Linked DNA regions of Macaca mulatta. The protein of the gene in region 1 binds, or shares a complex with, the protein of each later gene. Links are inferred from orthologs where the notes say so. Each region holds a gene or a part of one and is shown in the gene's direction. Other genes may lie near its edges. The genes, in order: DBF4 and CDC7.

Region 1 (6,938 bases):
AATCGGAAAGATCAGATTTAGATCTCTGATAATCACAGAAAGTTGTGGAGTAGACTAAATATTATCTTCATTTATAGATAAGGAAATTCTAGCATAGAAAGGTTAACTTTTTTTTTCTTTTTGAGATGGAGTTTCGCTCTGTCGCCCAGGCTGGAGTGCAATGGCGCGATCTCAGCTCACTGCAACCTCCGCCTTCTGGGTTCAAGTGATTTTCCTGCCTCAGCCTCCTGAGTAGCTGGGGTTACAGGCGCACACCACCATGCCCAGCTAATTTTTGTATTGTTAGTAGAGCCGGGGTTTCACCATGTTAGCCAGGCTGGTCTCCATCTCCTGACCTTGTGATCCGCCACCTCGGCCTCCCAAAGTGCTGGGATTACAGGCTTGAGCCACTATGCCCTGCCAGAAAGGTTAACATTTGCTCAAGGTCATAAAACTAGTTAGGGATAGGGCAGGTAATTAATAAAATTCATTTCTCTTGATTCACAGCCACATATTCATTTAATTAGATCATGATTCTGCTCAATGTTCTCCAATTTTGCCTAATATAACTCTTGAACATAGTTTCTCACCATAAATAACCCCGCCCCCATTCACTTCTTGAATGTCTACCCTTCCTCTGAAGGAATGTTTTCAAGCATATTTTCAAGATCTACTTTAAGACAAACCCCATCCTCTTACCAACAGACCTGACCACTGGACAATAAAAAGGAGGTTTGTATCATTACTGACTATAGCCACGTCCTTTCTGTGGCTACTAAAAGATTTAGGTTCCAGTAATATTTTTAAAAACTAACCTCGGATAATAGATTAGAAAATTACTAACTATCGAGTAAAGCAGACTTCCTGTTTATTTATTGCTCGGAATTACCACCTTCAGTGCAGTCAAGGGTGAGTCTAACAGCATAGGGTGCAACTATGTTACTGTCCTTCCTCTTCACAGTAAATAAGACACACAACTCATCTTTCACAAGAACATAAAATGGACTTCCTTTTTTGAAAAAATGTTCCTCAATAGAAGCATGCTTAAATCTTTCCCACATCCTCTAAACCTTCCAAAGATCAAGTCTTCCCTCCATTGTACTTTCCTAAAATAACAATTTTTTTGAAAGAGTACACTCAACCTGTCTGAACTTCAAGCTGATCATTTTTATCTAGTACTGTACTCATCTCCGCCACCCACTCAAATTACCCTTAAGGAAACCAATGATACCTGAAACGCCAAAATCAAACACGTATTTTTCAAGTCTTAATCTTACCTGTCCTGGGGATGAAGGAACTGGTGCAGCGCTCACTAGGATATAATTACAGAGCTCTTAAGGAGCTCTCCTCTGTGCCAGGTACTGTACTAAGCATTCAAAAATGTTCATTTAACCTTTACAACATCCCTGAGAAGTATTACCCCCTTTTAACAGATTAAAATTGGGGCTCAAAATTACCCAGAGGCCAAGTAGTGAAGCCCATATGATTCTAATGTTTGCAGTCTCTTCCCAATTCTGTGGCATTTCCTCCATATCTTTCAGTATTTCATCAACCACGCTTTTAATCAGTTCTCTCATTTCACATGCTCTCCTTGGCAATTTCATTTCCTCCCAGAGCTTTAATTACATTATATATTAGTGCTTCCCAACTTTTTAAATCTTTCTGTTAATATAGACATTTTGTGCTCTCTGTAGCTTGTATTTTGAAAATAAGTTCCCATAGAAATTACAATATTGAATATGTTTACTTAAACCACACTTCCTTCCACCACTCAAGATCTGTTAACCTTTAATGAACTGCCCCATGATTAAAATCAACAGACCGTGAGGTAGAAATATTTTATTGGAGAGATATCAAATCACTCTATTTCCTCTTCCCATGTCCACTTTTCCTAGACATTTCTCTCGAGTCATAAACATCTTCAACTGTCTAATAAGCATAGTTCCATGATTGTCGCCCCAGGGCCTTCAACATAAACCTGTCTAAAACCAAACTCTCATTTCCCTTAGCAAACGTGTTCTCTGAGTTCTCCAGCTAATATTGGCACAACCCACCCTTGTCTATTCTTTGAGGTACCTACCTGCAAAACTGTAACGCTGACACTCTGACTTCCTTGAGCTACCAGGTAAAAAAAACAACCATTACAGGAGTGCCTATTATGGCCTGGAGTAGAGGAACGCAAAATAGTTCAAAACATCCTCTTCCTCCCGAAGAAACAGATTTTTTTTTGGCGAGGCATGTTCCAACTTATAAAATTAAAATATATTCACAACATTTTAATTTGATCTTTAATCTGTTTTACAGAAAAAAAAATGTGATGTTACTTTCCACTCCTTCATTATTGAAATAAAGTTACACACAAGTAAACAAAAACAGTTCTGTATACAATAAAAGTCAACAGGGCAGCGCAAATAGCCAACTACCCAAGGACACAAAGTGACCTGGACGCGTTCTGGGGTGTCGCTGCCGTCACGACCGGGGGCCGCCTCCTCCCTCCGACGTCCCCCGGGACCGCTCTCTCTCCCGCAAGTCGCTCTGCGGCCTGTCCTCAGCCGGCGGGGTCGGCAGTGACCGCGGGAAAACCCCGCTGGCTGTGCGACCCAGGGCGCGCTGAGCAGGGGCTGCGGCTGCCGCCACCGCCCGGCTCCGGCCCCGGCCAGAGCTGAGTCCGGGATCGGCCGAAGCCCCTCGCCTTCAGCCTCCCAGACGTCCGACCAGTGGAAAATTAGCATACCTGGGGGAGAAAGCAGCTGGAAGGCCGGCGGTCCTGGCAAACCTAGAAGGCGGAAATAACCCTGGTGATGGGCGGGGCAGGGCTCCAGCGCTAACTGCATCCACTAGGTTTGGTCAACACAGAGCCGCGCCAACTCTCTGTGGCTGCGCCAAGACCTGAAGCGGCGGACTGAGAGCCGGGGTCAGAGGCTGAGAGGGCATCGGAATGGGAGCGGGGCAGAGGGGAACACATATCCTGCGGAGACCGAGCGAGGCGCCACAAGGACAGCGGCGTGAGGGGGCGGGGCGCGCGGCGCGAGAAGGCGGGCACGAGGGGCGAGCGCGAGGCGGGGCACGGCGCGCGGCGTGAGACGGGGCGGGGCGCGCGTATCGGCGCCGCGGCCGCGTGACGCGTTTTCAAATCTTCAACCGCCGCAACCCACTCGTTTGTGCTTTGCGCCTTCCTCCTCCGCGCTTTGGAGCCGGATCCGGCCCCGGAAACTCGACCCGCAGACGCGGTACCTCTGCTGCGTGGAGGCCGTAGCCGGCGGAAGGAGAGAGGCGGCCGTCCTGTCAACAGGCCTGGGGAAGCCGTGCTTTCGTGGCCGCCCAGCGCGACACTTTCTCCGGACCCAGCATGTAGGTACCGGGCGACTGCCATGAACTCCGGAGCCATGAGGATCCACAGTAAAGGGCATTTCCAGGGTAAGAAGCCCCTCCTCCGCCTGCAGTCCCTTTAATCCTTTCCTCCCCTCGTGGTTCCACCATTGATTCTTCAGACTTCTCCCGCCGGTTCCTCAGCTTTTTTTTTCTGACCGCCCTCCTCTGGGGTCTGAAGGAAGGGGCTCCTTCAGTGTTTTGTCTAAGAAGGAACGGATTCCGGCCCGGCCCCTCGAGCGCTCTGCCCTTTACAGCGGCGGACCCAGATTCATTCCCGGTCGTGCCTTCGGTTGAAAACTAGCAAACAATGTGCAGATCCGGGACCTCGCTGGGGCTGCCGTGCTCTCTTCTGCCCGGCTTCCGCAGATGCTGCGCCTCCGCCCGGGCCCTTGGAGGCGACGGACAGCATCCTCAGTTTAAAGTCAGACACGCTCGTCGCTTTTCGCTTCAGTATTAGATTGAGTGATTGTGGGTGGATTTTTGGTCTTAACCCTTGAAAGTTTATTTTCCCTTCCTCATAAGTTGGGGGAAAGCATTTGTATTTCAAACATCCCATTGCTGGTTTCAACATTACAAACAGGGAAACAAAAGCACATTTCCATTTTCAATCACTTTATTTGGTGAAACATTCCACCACCTAAGTTTTTGTACAGGTATTTGTATATGTGTAGTAATTACCAATTTAAGAACAGGTTGCGTTTGAAAAATTAATTTTTAAAGCAGTTGCTCGGATCTCAGATCTGTTTTTAATGAAAATAATGAAATGAAAGGTTTAGTTCTTCGTAATGGACCGTTAAATTCCTAATACAAAGACAAATTGTATGTGAAATGGACCATTTAGTTGTTAACATGCAGACAAACTTTATATGAAACTAAAACTTGAGCAGTCTGAAACCCTTGACTAGGTTATTCTGGGTAACAGGATTCTTTCATCGCTAAATGAAGTTTAAACACCAGTTTTGAATGTTCAGCAGAATGGCAGATGCTCAATAAGTAGTTGAGTATTAAATACCCCCATGGAGTTTACATCCTAAAGAAGAAAATCTTTCAAAAGAGTTTTATATAGTCCCGTGCCTCAGGAATAAATACAAGAATATTTCTTGCTGAGTCAACTATTATTTTACAATATGCGGTCTGTGAAAATATATAGAGCATTTTGCCTCTGTCCTAAGTAGTGCTACAAAGAAATACATTTCAGTGCTAATAAACTGGTAGGATTGTAAGGATTTTTATTTTGTAATATTGTATAATGAAATGTTTTAAAAATAGTACAAGTGTCTGTGTAAAACATCTGATTCTAAATATCTTTAATAGCAGGTGGAATCCAAGTCAAAAATGAAAAAAACAGACCATCTTTGAAATCTCTGAAAACTGATAACAGGCCAGAAAAATCCAAATACAAGCCACTTTTGGGAAAAGTATTTTACCTTGACTTACCTTCTGTCACCATATCTGAAAAACTGCAAAAGGACATTAAGGATCTGGGAGGGGTAAGTGAAAACCCTAAACTGGCATAGAAGGAAAAATTTGTAACTACTACTTTCTACTATGTAATCATTTAAATTTTTCATTTTAGAAAAGTTAAACCCTTCTGTTAGCACCAAGATTAACATTATTATCAGCTGTTTATCGTTAATGAAAAACCATTTGTTTTAACCTTTTGTGGACTGGCAAAACTTTCAGGTTTCTCCGATTAGCAGTCTAGTATAAAGTTCCCAGCGTATAAGACTCCCCTGTCCTAATGGAACTGCTTACTGTAATGTTGGAATGTCCTCCAGATGACAGCAGTTTCTTGATTATGAATCTTGGGGAGCTACGTAAGTTTGTATGGACTAGTGTAACAATTAAGAATGTTATTACAGAACACCCATGCAAACCACACAGTTAAAATTGTTCCTGAGCGATACAGATGCTGTTTCAACAGAATGAATGTTATTAAAGGAATAAAAATTTGCATTAAGAATCTGGAGATACTTTCCTACCTTGTACACTGATTAGATGATTGGGAAATTAGAAATCTCAGGCAAAGGCCGGGCACAGTAGCTCACGCCTGTAATCCCAGCACTTTGGGAGGCTGAGGCGGGCGGATCACAAGGTCAGGAGGTCGAGACCATCCTGGCTAACACGGTGAAACTCCATCTCTACTAAAAATACAAAAAAAAAAAATTAGCTGGGCGCGGTAGCAGGCGCGTATAGTCCCAGCTACTTCGGAGGCTGAGGCAGGAGAATGGTGTGAACCCAGGAGGCGGAGCTTGCAGTGAGCTAAGATCGCCCCACTGCACTCCAGCCGGGGCAACAGAGCGAGACTCTGTCTCAAAAAAAAAAAAAAAAGAAAACTCAGGCAAAATTCTAGGATCTTAATAGGATTAAGGTTAATATTGGATGAATTTTAGCAAATGAGGTGATAAAGGTTTTTTCTGTCTTAAAGGGTCATACTGGACTTTGACTTTCTGAAGGTCTGTGTCTTTGAGTGTCTAAACTGATCCTTTCATTCCCAGACTGGTAACTTTTCATTTTATTTTTATTTTGAGACGGAGTCTCGTTCTATATGGCCTGGGTTGGAGTGCAGTGGTGCGATCTCGGCTCACTGCAACCTCCGCCTCCCAGCTTCAAGTGATTCTTATGCCTCAGCCTCCACCTCCTGAGTAGCTACAATTACAGGCAGTGCCACCACTCCTGGGTAATTTTTGTATTTTTAGTGGAGTTAGGGTTTCACCATGTTGCCCAGGCTAGTCTCAAACTTCTGACCTCAGGTGATTTGCCCACCTCAGCCTTCTGAAGTGCTGGGATTTACAGGCATGAGCCCTCCAGGCCCTGCCAATTCCCAAACTAGAAACTTACCAGAAGAACATGTGCTAACAAGTTTCCTGGAACTGTTTGTTAATATGATATTTTATTTACCTATCTCTGAAAAGTTACTCTACTTTTTTACTATTCATTTTGTTAAACTAAAACACTGTGACATGCTTGTAATAGTAATATTTATCGTAATGATCATACGACAGCATTAAAGGTCATGTTTACTAGGCCAGCCACCCTATTGACTGTGTGTCTATTAAGCATATCTTAATGTGTTAAGGACCTTAGACATTGAGTAAAAAAAGACCCCTTCATCTTAGAAGCAAAGTACTTGAGGTCCAGAGAAAGTAAATGGCCCAGTTAGAGCAGTATTAGCTTCTTAATTCCAACAGCAACATAGTTCCTGCACCATTCTGTTCCTCTAGCAATCAGTGGCTACAAATGGCTATCTGGCTGTTAATTCACACCTGTAATCCTAGCACTTTGGGAGGCCGAGGCAGGTAGATCGCTTGAGGCCAGGAGTTCAAGACCAGCCTTTGCAACATGGCAAAACTCCATGTCTACTAAAAAATACAAAAATTAGCCAAGAATGGTGGCGCATACTTGTAGTCCCAGCTACTTGGGAGGCCAAGGCATGAGAATCGCTTGAACCTGGGAGGTGGAGGTTGCCGTGAGCCAAGATTGTGCCACTGCACCCCAGCCTGGGTGACAGAGTGAGACCCTCCAAAAAAAAAAAGTAGCTTAAAGTAGCTATCCGATGTGATTTGATGACAGCTTTCTCAAATACG
Region 2 (6,373 bases), on another chromosome or scaffold:
GTAGACAAGGTCAGACCACAGTTGTTACAGTTTGGACTATATACTGTACATATAATCAAGCAAAAGAAGTGGCAATGGTATATTCTAGATGGATCATTCTGGCAGGCGTTCAAACAGTTTAGCTTTTGGAGAGTGGTGGCATGAATTTTTCCAGTTGAGAGGATGAAAATGTGAATGAGGGTATTAGTAATAGGAATAAAAAGAAAAGTGAAGGGTTGGAAAAGGCAGAGCTTGGTGGATAATTGGATGTAGTATTTGGGTGTGGTGTGGTGAGGGAAAAGGGCATTCAGGATATTTACCAGAGTCCTAGCTTGGGAGACTTGGATGTGTACCAGTAACCAAGGTGGAGAGTAAAGGAGAAGTAACTGGTTTATAGGGGAAAGTAAGGTTGGTTTTGGGTATAATTGGTTTGAGGTATTTGTGGGACATCCAAATAGAGATATCCAACAGAATCAAAGTTAAGTCTGATGCTCAGCGAAGGAGCTGGGCTAGAAATGCAGTTGAATGTCATCATTATATAAATGACAGTTGAAACCATGAAGTGGATGGACCAATCAGGGAGAGTATACAGAGGGAGAAGTTAAAACTCTGAGGAACATTAGTCAGCACTTAAGGCTTGGAGAAAACATTGAAGGAGCAGGCAGAGGTACCAAAGGAGCTAAGAAAGGCATGTAGGGCTGGGCACAGTGGCTCACCACGCCTGTAATACCAGCACTTTGGGAGGCCAAGGCAGGCAGATCACTAGGTCAGGAGTTTGAGACCAGCCTGGCCAATATGGTGAAACCCCGTCTCTACTAAAAAGTACAAAAAATTAGCTGGGCATGGTGGTGCGTGCCTGTAGTTCCAGCTACTGCGGAGGCTGAGGCAGGAGAATTGAACCCAGGAGACAGAGGTTACAGTGAGCCGAGATTGTGCCATTGGACTCCAGCCTGAGCAACAGAGACTCCCTCTCAAAAAAAAAAAAAAGTGATACAGTAGCCGAAGGAACAGAGCAAATAACCTGGTGATACTAGGAGGTCAACAATTAGGAGAGATATCCCTTTAAAAAAAAAAAAAAAACGGGCGGATCACGAGGTCAGGAGATCGAGACCATCCTGGCTAACACGGTGAAACCCCGTCTCTACTAAAAAAATACAAAAAAACTAGCCGGGCACGGTGGCGGGCGCCTGTAGTCCCAGCTACTCCGGAGGCTGAGGCAGGAGAATGGCGTGAACCTGGGAGGTGGAGCTTGCAGTGAGCCGAGATCCGGTCACTGCGCTCCAGCCTGGGCGACAGAGCGAGACTCCGTCTCCAAAAAAAAAAAAAAAAAAGCTTTTTAACATCAAGTTGAGCTGGTCGTAATCTTTAACAGCCAGAATTAAGAAGATTAAAGTTTCTATAGTGGGAATGTAAATTAGTACAACCACTATGGAAAACAATTTGGACGTTCCTCAAAAAACTAAAAATAGAGCTACTACATGATCCAACAATCCCACTGCTAGGTATATACCCAAAAGAAAGAAAATCAGTGTACCAAAGAGGTATCTGCACTCCCATGTTTGTTGAAGCACTATTCATAATAGTCAAAATTTGGAAGCGACCTAAGTGTCCATCAACAGATGAATGGATAAAGAAAATGTGGTACTTACACACAATGGAGTACTGTTCAGCCATGAAAAAGAAGATCTTGTCATTTGCAACAACATGGATGGAACTGGAGATCATTATGTCAAGTGAAATAAGCCAGGCACTGAAAAACAAGCATTACATGTTCTCACTTATTTGTGGGATCTAAAAATCAAAACAATTGAACCCATAGAGAGTGGAAAGATGGTTACCAGAGGCTGAGAAGGGTAGTGGGAGGGTGTGGGGGACATGGGGACTGCTAATGGGTACAAAAAATAGTTATAAATGAATAATCCAGCATTTTGGGAGGCTAAGGCGGGTGGATTGCTTGAGCTTAGGAGCTGGAGACCAGCTTGGGCAACATGGTAGAACCCTATTTCTACCAAAAATACAAAAAAGTAGCTGGGTGTGGTAGTGTGCACCCGTGTACCCAGCTACTCAGGAGGCTGAGGTGGGAGGATCACTTGAGCCTGGGAGGCGGCGGTTGCAGTGAGCCGAGATCACACCACCACACTCTAGCCTGGGCAACAGAGCCAGACCCCATCTCGGAAAAAAAAATAATGAATAAGACCTAGTATTTGATAGCACAACGGGGAGACTATAGTCAATAATTTAATTGTACATTTTAAAATAACTAAAAGAGTACTTTGGGAGGCTGAGGCAGGCAGATCACTTGAGCCCAGGAGCTTGAAACCAACCTGACCAATGTGGCAAAATCCCATCTCTACTAAAAATACAAAAAAAAAAAAAAAAAAAGCTGGGCATGGTGACACGCCTGTGATCCCAGCTACTCAGGAGGCTGAAGCATGAGAATTGCTTGAATCTGGGAGGCAGAGGTTGCTGTGAGCTGAGACTGTGCCACTGCACTCTAGCCTGGGCCACATAGCGAGACCTTGTCTCAAAAAAAAAAAAGAAAAGAATTTAATTGGATTGTTTGTAACACAAAGGATAAATGCTTGAGGGAATGGATACCCTATTTTCCAGGATGTGATTATTACACATGGCATGCGTGTATCAAAACATCTTATATACTTCATCAATATATATACCTACTGTGTACTCAGAAAAATTAAAGTCTTTACAGCCACAAAAAAATAAAAATAAAATACTTTTTTAAAGGTTTCTATAGCAGCAGTTGGTGGTAGTGTCAGCTGAAGAAGAGCTTCTAATGTTCATTACTTTTCACTAAAATGAAAGCATTTTGACCAGTATGGTATGTAATTCTCAAGGATCATTCAGATTTTTTTCCCTCTTAGCTGTTTTTGGATTCCTTTTGATCCTATAAAATGTTCATTTAGTTATTGTTTCCTAATGATTAAGTATCCTTTTAAATTTACCAACATGTTTCTTAAGAAAGAAACATATTTTGCAGTGAGGATTCTCAGTCCTGGTTGTACATTAAAATCACCTGAGGAACTTTTTTTAAAACATTGATGCCTGAGCCCTACTTTGGAACTGTTCAATCAAAATCTCTGGGTCTGGGCATCTGAATTTTTTAAGGCTCCCAAGGTGATTCTAATGCATAGTAAATGTTGAGGACTATTGATTTAGATGATAAAATTATAGACTTGAAATTTATTTTTAAAATTTGTCTTCTATTGCAGCAATTGACATGTGGTCTGCAGGTGTCATATTTCTTTCTTTGCTTAGTGGACGATACCCATTTTATAAAGCAAGTGATGATTTAACTGCTTTGGCCCAAATTATGACAATTCGGGGATCCAGAGAAACTATCCAAGCTGCTAAAACTTTTGGTAAGCAGTTTTGTATTATAGAACAAAACAGAATGCCTTTGATTATCTCCTACAAATCACTTAATAAATTATTATGAAATTTTCTTTACAAATAAACATTGAGTCTTGATAAAGTTCTCTAATATTAAGTAGAAAATTCTTCAATTGCTTGAAAATAAACGTATCACCTCTCCTCTATACATATAATCATTTAATCTTATTAAGCACAAGTAATACCTTTTGCAGTATTTAAAGTTTACCTGTATAATTTTGTAGGAATAAGGAGTAAAATCTTAACTCCTTTTAGTTATGGTTTGACTTTTATTACATACATTTACCTTTAATAATATGTTTTACTTTTTTATTGTATTTTAAACATCAGATGTACTACGTCTTGGTACTTAGAGTGTCCTTGCCTTAAATGATCTTAGGCTATACTAACAAGTAAACAATTATTAATATAGTATAATAAGGATTAGGGAAGAGAATAGAAATTTGTGTTGTCAGGTTGTGTAGGTTTATGGGAGCAGAGAAGCAGAATGCATAGAAGGCCTTAACTGATGGGATATTATTGTAAACATATATTGGACATGGATGTCATCTCCTTAGCATGCAAGTTCTTCAAGACTGGGATGTGCAGTGTACTTCATAGGGCACGTGAGAATTATCTCAGCCTTGCTGTGGCCAACAGTCTGAACTCAAATGCCCGTTTAATGTTTATTTTCCAAGCTCAGTTATAGTTAATGCTTTCCAAGGAATAAGTGGGATTGAGTCAGCTTACTACCATACAATACAGAATACCCCAGGAGATAAAGGTTCAACCAGCCTACCTCAAGAGTAGCTGGGCTGCCTTGTGCTCAGCCCCAGGATCAGCGGGTCTTAACCGGGGTTGCATGTCAGAATTATCTGAGAATCTTTAAGAAATACATATGCCTGCCCACTCTACCTATTCTTGGAAAATATGATTCAGAAAAATAAGATACTTAGGAAGGCTCCAGCCTTGTTAGTTTGAAAAAACAAGTGATTTTGACTAAGAAACTACAGGTGTTTAAGAACCACTGCAGAAATTACTGCCCTAGCTTATGCACTAGTGCTATAGTCCAATCTATAAGAAAAACTTGGTGGTTGTGAAGAAAGCCTCATCTTAATAGAGGCTTGCCAAAATATGTTTCTACAGCAAAGTCGGTCCACAATTGTAACTATCTTGTACTTACTGTAAGAAAATTTTATTTGAAGATAATAGGATGAAATAATACATACAAGGGAAAAGTGACCATGAGTGGAAAACAAGATTGATATCTTAGAAATGGCATTCTTACATAATAATAAACATAACAAGTATGTTTATTCTCAACTGAGAAAACTTTCATCTACTATTGAATAACTTGGTGAGAGGTTTATGAACATGAAGTTTATGAGCCAACACCAAAATATTTTATTGAAGAGCTTGAATCTCCCCATTGGTAATCCAAGTTATAATCAGGGCCAACAATGGAAGTACAACATCTGACACAAAAATACTCCAGATCAAGTGCCATGATAGCAAGCAAGAGCTTTTAGAGATTTATCATTGTAATACTTGTTTTCATATTTGAAAAAAAAATAGGACCAGGCACGGTGGCTCACACCTGTAATCCCAGCACTTCGAGAGGCTGAGGTGGGCGGATCATGAGGTCATGAGATGAGACCATCCTGGGTAATATGGTGAAATCCCATCTCTACTAAAAACACAAAAATTAGCTGGGCATGGTAGCACACACTTGTAGTCCCAGCTACTCGGGAGGCTGTGAGGCAGAAGAACTGCAGTTGAAGCCAGGAGACGGCAGTTGCAGTGAGCCAAGATTGCACCATTGCACTCCAGCCTGGCGACAGAGCAAGACTGTCTCAAAAAACAAATAATAAAAATAATGCCATAGGACTTGTCTCAGTTGTATTAGTATGACATCTGTAGTTATTTCAGTCAGATCTTACTATAACTTTGGACTGAGTATAAAAGCCTCAAAATTTCAGCAAACACAACTGTGTTCCCCTTTGTAACCTAAAGAAATGACTTAGCTGAGATTAGCAGTGAGATCACCTTTACTTCTCTTATCTGTAACCTATTCCACTGTCTTCAGCCCTTAAACCTGGCTCCATTGTGGGTTGTCATTTAGTACTCAGTGAATTGTATTGGATAAATTAAAAAGAAAAGTCTTGAGCTGAAACAAATTCCTGACACATAGTAGTCTGTAACAAAGTATGTTGACCGATCGTGTTAGTTGGAGTTATTTTTCCTGAATGTTATAAATCAATCTTCTTTTTGGTCATATAAAAAAAAGCATATTGTATAACTTGGGGACATGCGATAACGTATACTATTAATTATTTTATGACTTCAGAACAAGCTAATGAATAAAAAACTATGTGAGTATTCCCCTCTGGCTCTGATTTTTCAGAGAGAATAGGAATGATAGAATCAGTTCAAAAGTAAAAAAGGATTGGCATATTGTATCCTCATAGAATTTGGTTTTTGGTAATTGTTTCTTTTGTTTCCTCCCTTTCCCTCCCCTCTTTTTCCCCTGGCTTAGTTAAACATCAGTCCAATAGTTAGTTCAGAATAGGGAAAGGTAACTTTTTATCATCCTCAGCCAGATTAATGACTTTGTTGACAATCTACATTCCCAGAAAAGCATCTAAATGTTATGGTACTTATTGTTTAGTACATTTATGTTTAATAAGTAAATGCAAGGCAAAAATAATACATGATTGCCATTTGCGTGATTAACTTCTTTTTGCACATCTGATAATAAACCCATCAGGAAGTTGTTTCAGACATTTATATTTTTAAAAACTAAGATATAGTTTGTTTATTTGTTCATTCAGAAGCATTTATTGGGGCTTTATGTATGCCAAGTACTATTGCAAGTCTCTGCTTTGACAGAGCTTAAATTCTAGTGAGGGAGAGAACATAAGTACTATGAGAAATGAGTGGTACTGAGAAAGATAAAAGGAAAAGGGGAGGGAAGAGGCTCATTTAGGATAGGTTGGTCAAGAAC

The links.
Region 2: the proteins of DBF4 (region 1) and CDC7 are in contact, whole or in part, in a crystal structure (PDB 6YA8), measured with the Homo sapiens proteins. The link is inferred for Macaca mulatta from reciprocal best matches to the Homo sapiens genes DBF4 and CDC7. Residues at the interface, in NP_006707.1 of Homo sapiens: Thr210, Arg211, Thr212, Gly213, Arg214, Leu215, Lys217, Pro218, Phe219, Val220, Lys221, Val222, Glu223, Asp224, Met225, Ser226, Gln227, Leu228, Tyr229, Arg230, Pro231, Phe232, Tyr233, Leu234, Leu236, Met239, Pro240, Ile242, Asn243, Tyr244; in NP_001127891.1 of Homo sapiens: Asn56, Val57, Phe58, Ala77, Gln78, Leu79, Gln80, Ile87, Ile93, Pro94, Thr95, Ser96, His97, Pro98, Ile99, Arg100, Ile101, Ala102, Leu105, Gln106, Thr109, Lys121, Tyr122, Cys123, Phe124, Arg125, Asn127, Asp128, Val130, Leu143.

The regions. Positions count from the first base shown.
Region 1 is NC_133408.1:131,509,660-131,516,597, reverse strand, and holds the start of DBF4 (protein DBF4 homolog A), read left to right. Parts: upstream 1-3,110; 5' UTR 3,111-3,350; coding exon 3,351-3,396; intron 3,397-4,665; coding exon 4,666-4,841; intron 4,842-6,938. UniProt on the Homo sapiens protein: Regulatory subunit for CDC7 which activates its kinase activity thereby playing a central role in DNA replication and cell proliferation. Required for progression of S phase.
Region 2 is NC_133406.1:148,789,341-148,795,713, reverse strand, and holds part of CDC7 (cell division cycle 7-related protein kinase), read left to right. Parts: intron 1-3,209; coding exon 3,210-3,359; intron 3,360-6,373. UniProt on the Homo sapiens protein: Kinase involved in initiation of DNA replication. Phosphorylates critical substrates that regulate the G1/S phase transition and initiation of DNA replication, such as MCM proteins and CLASPIN.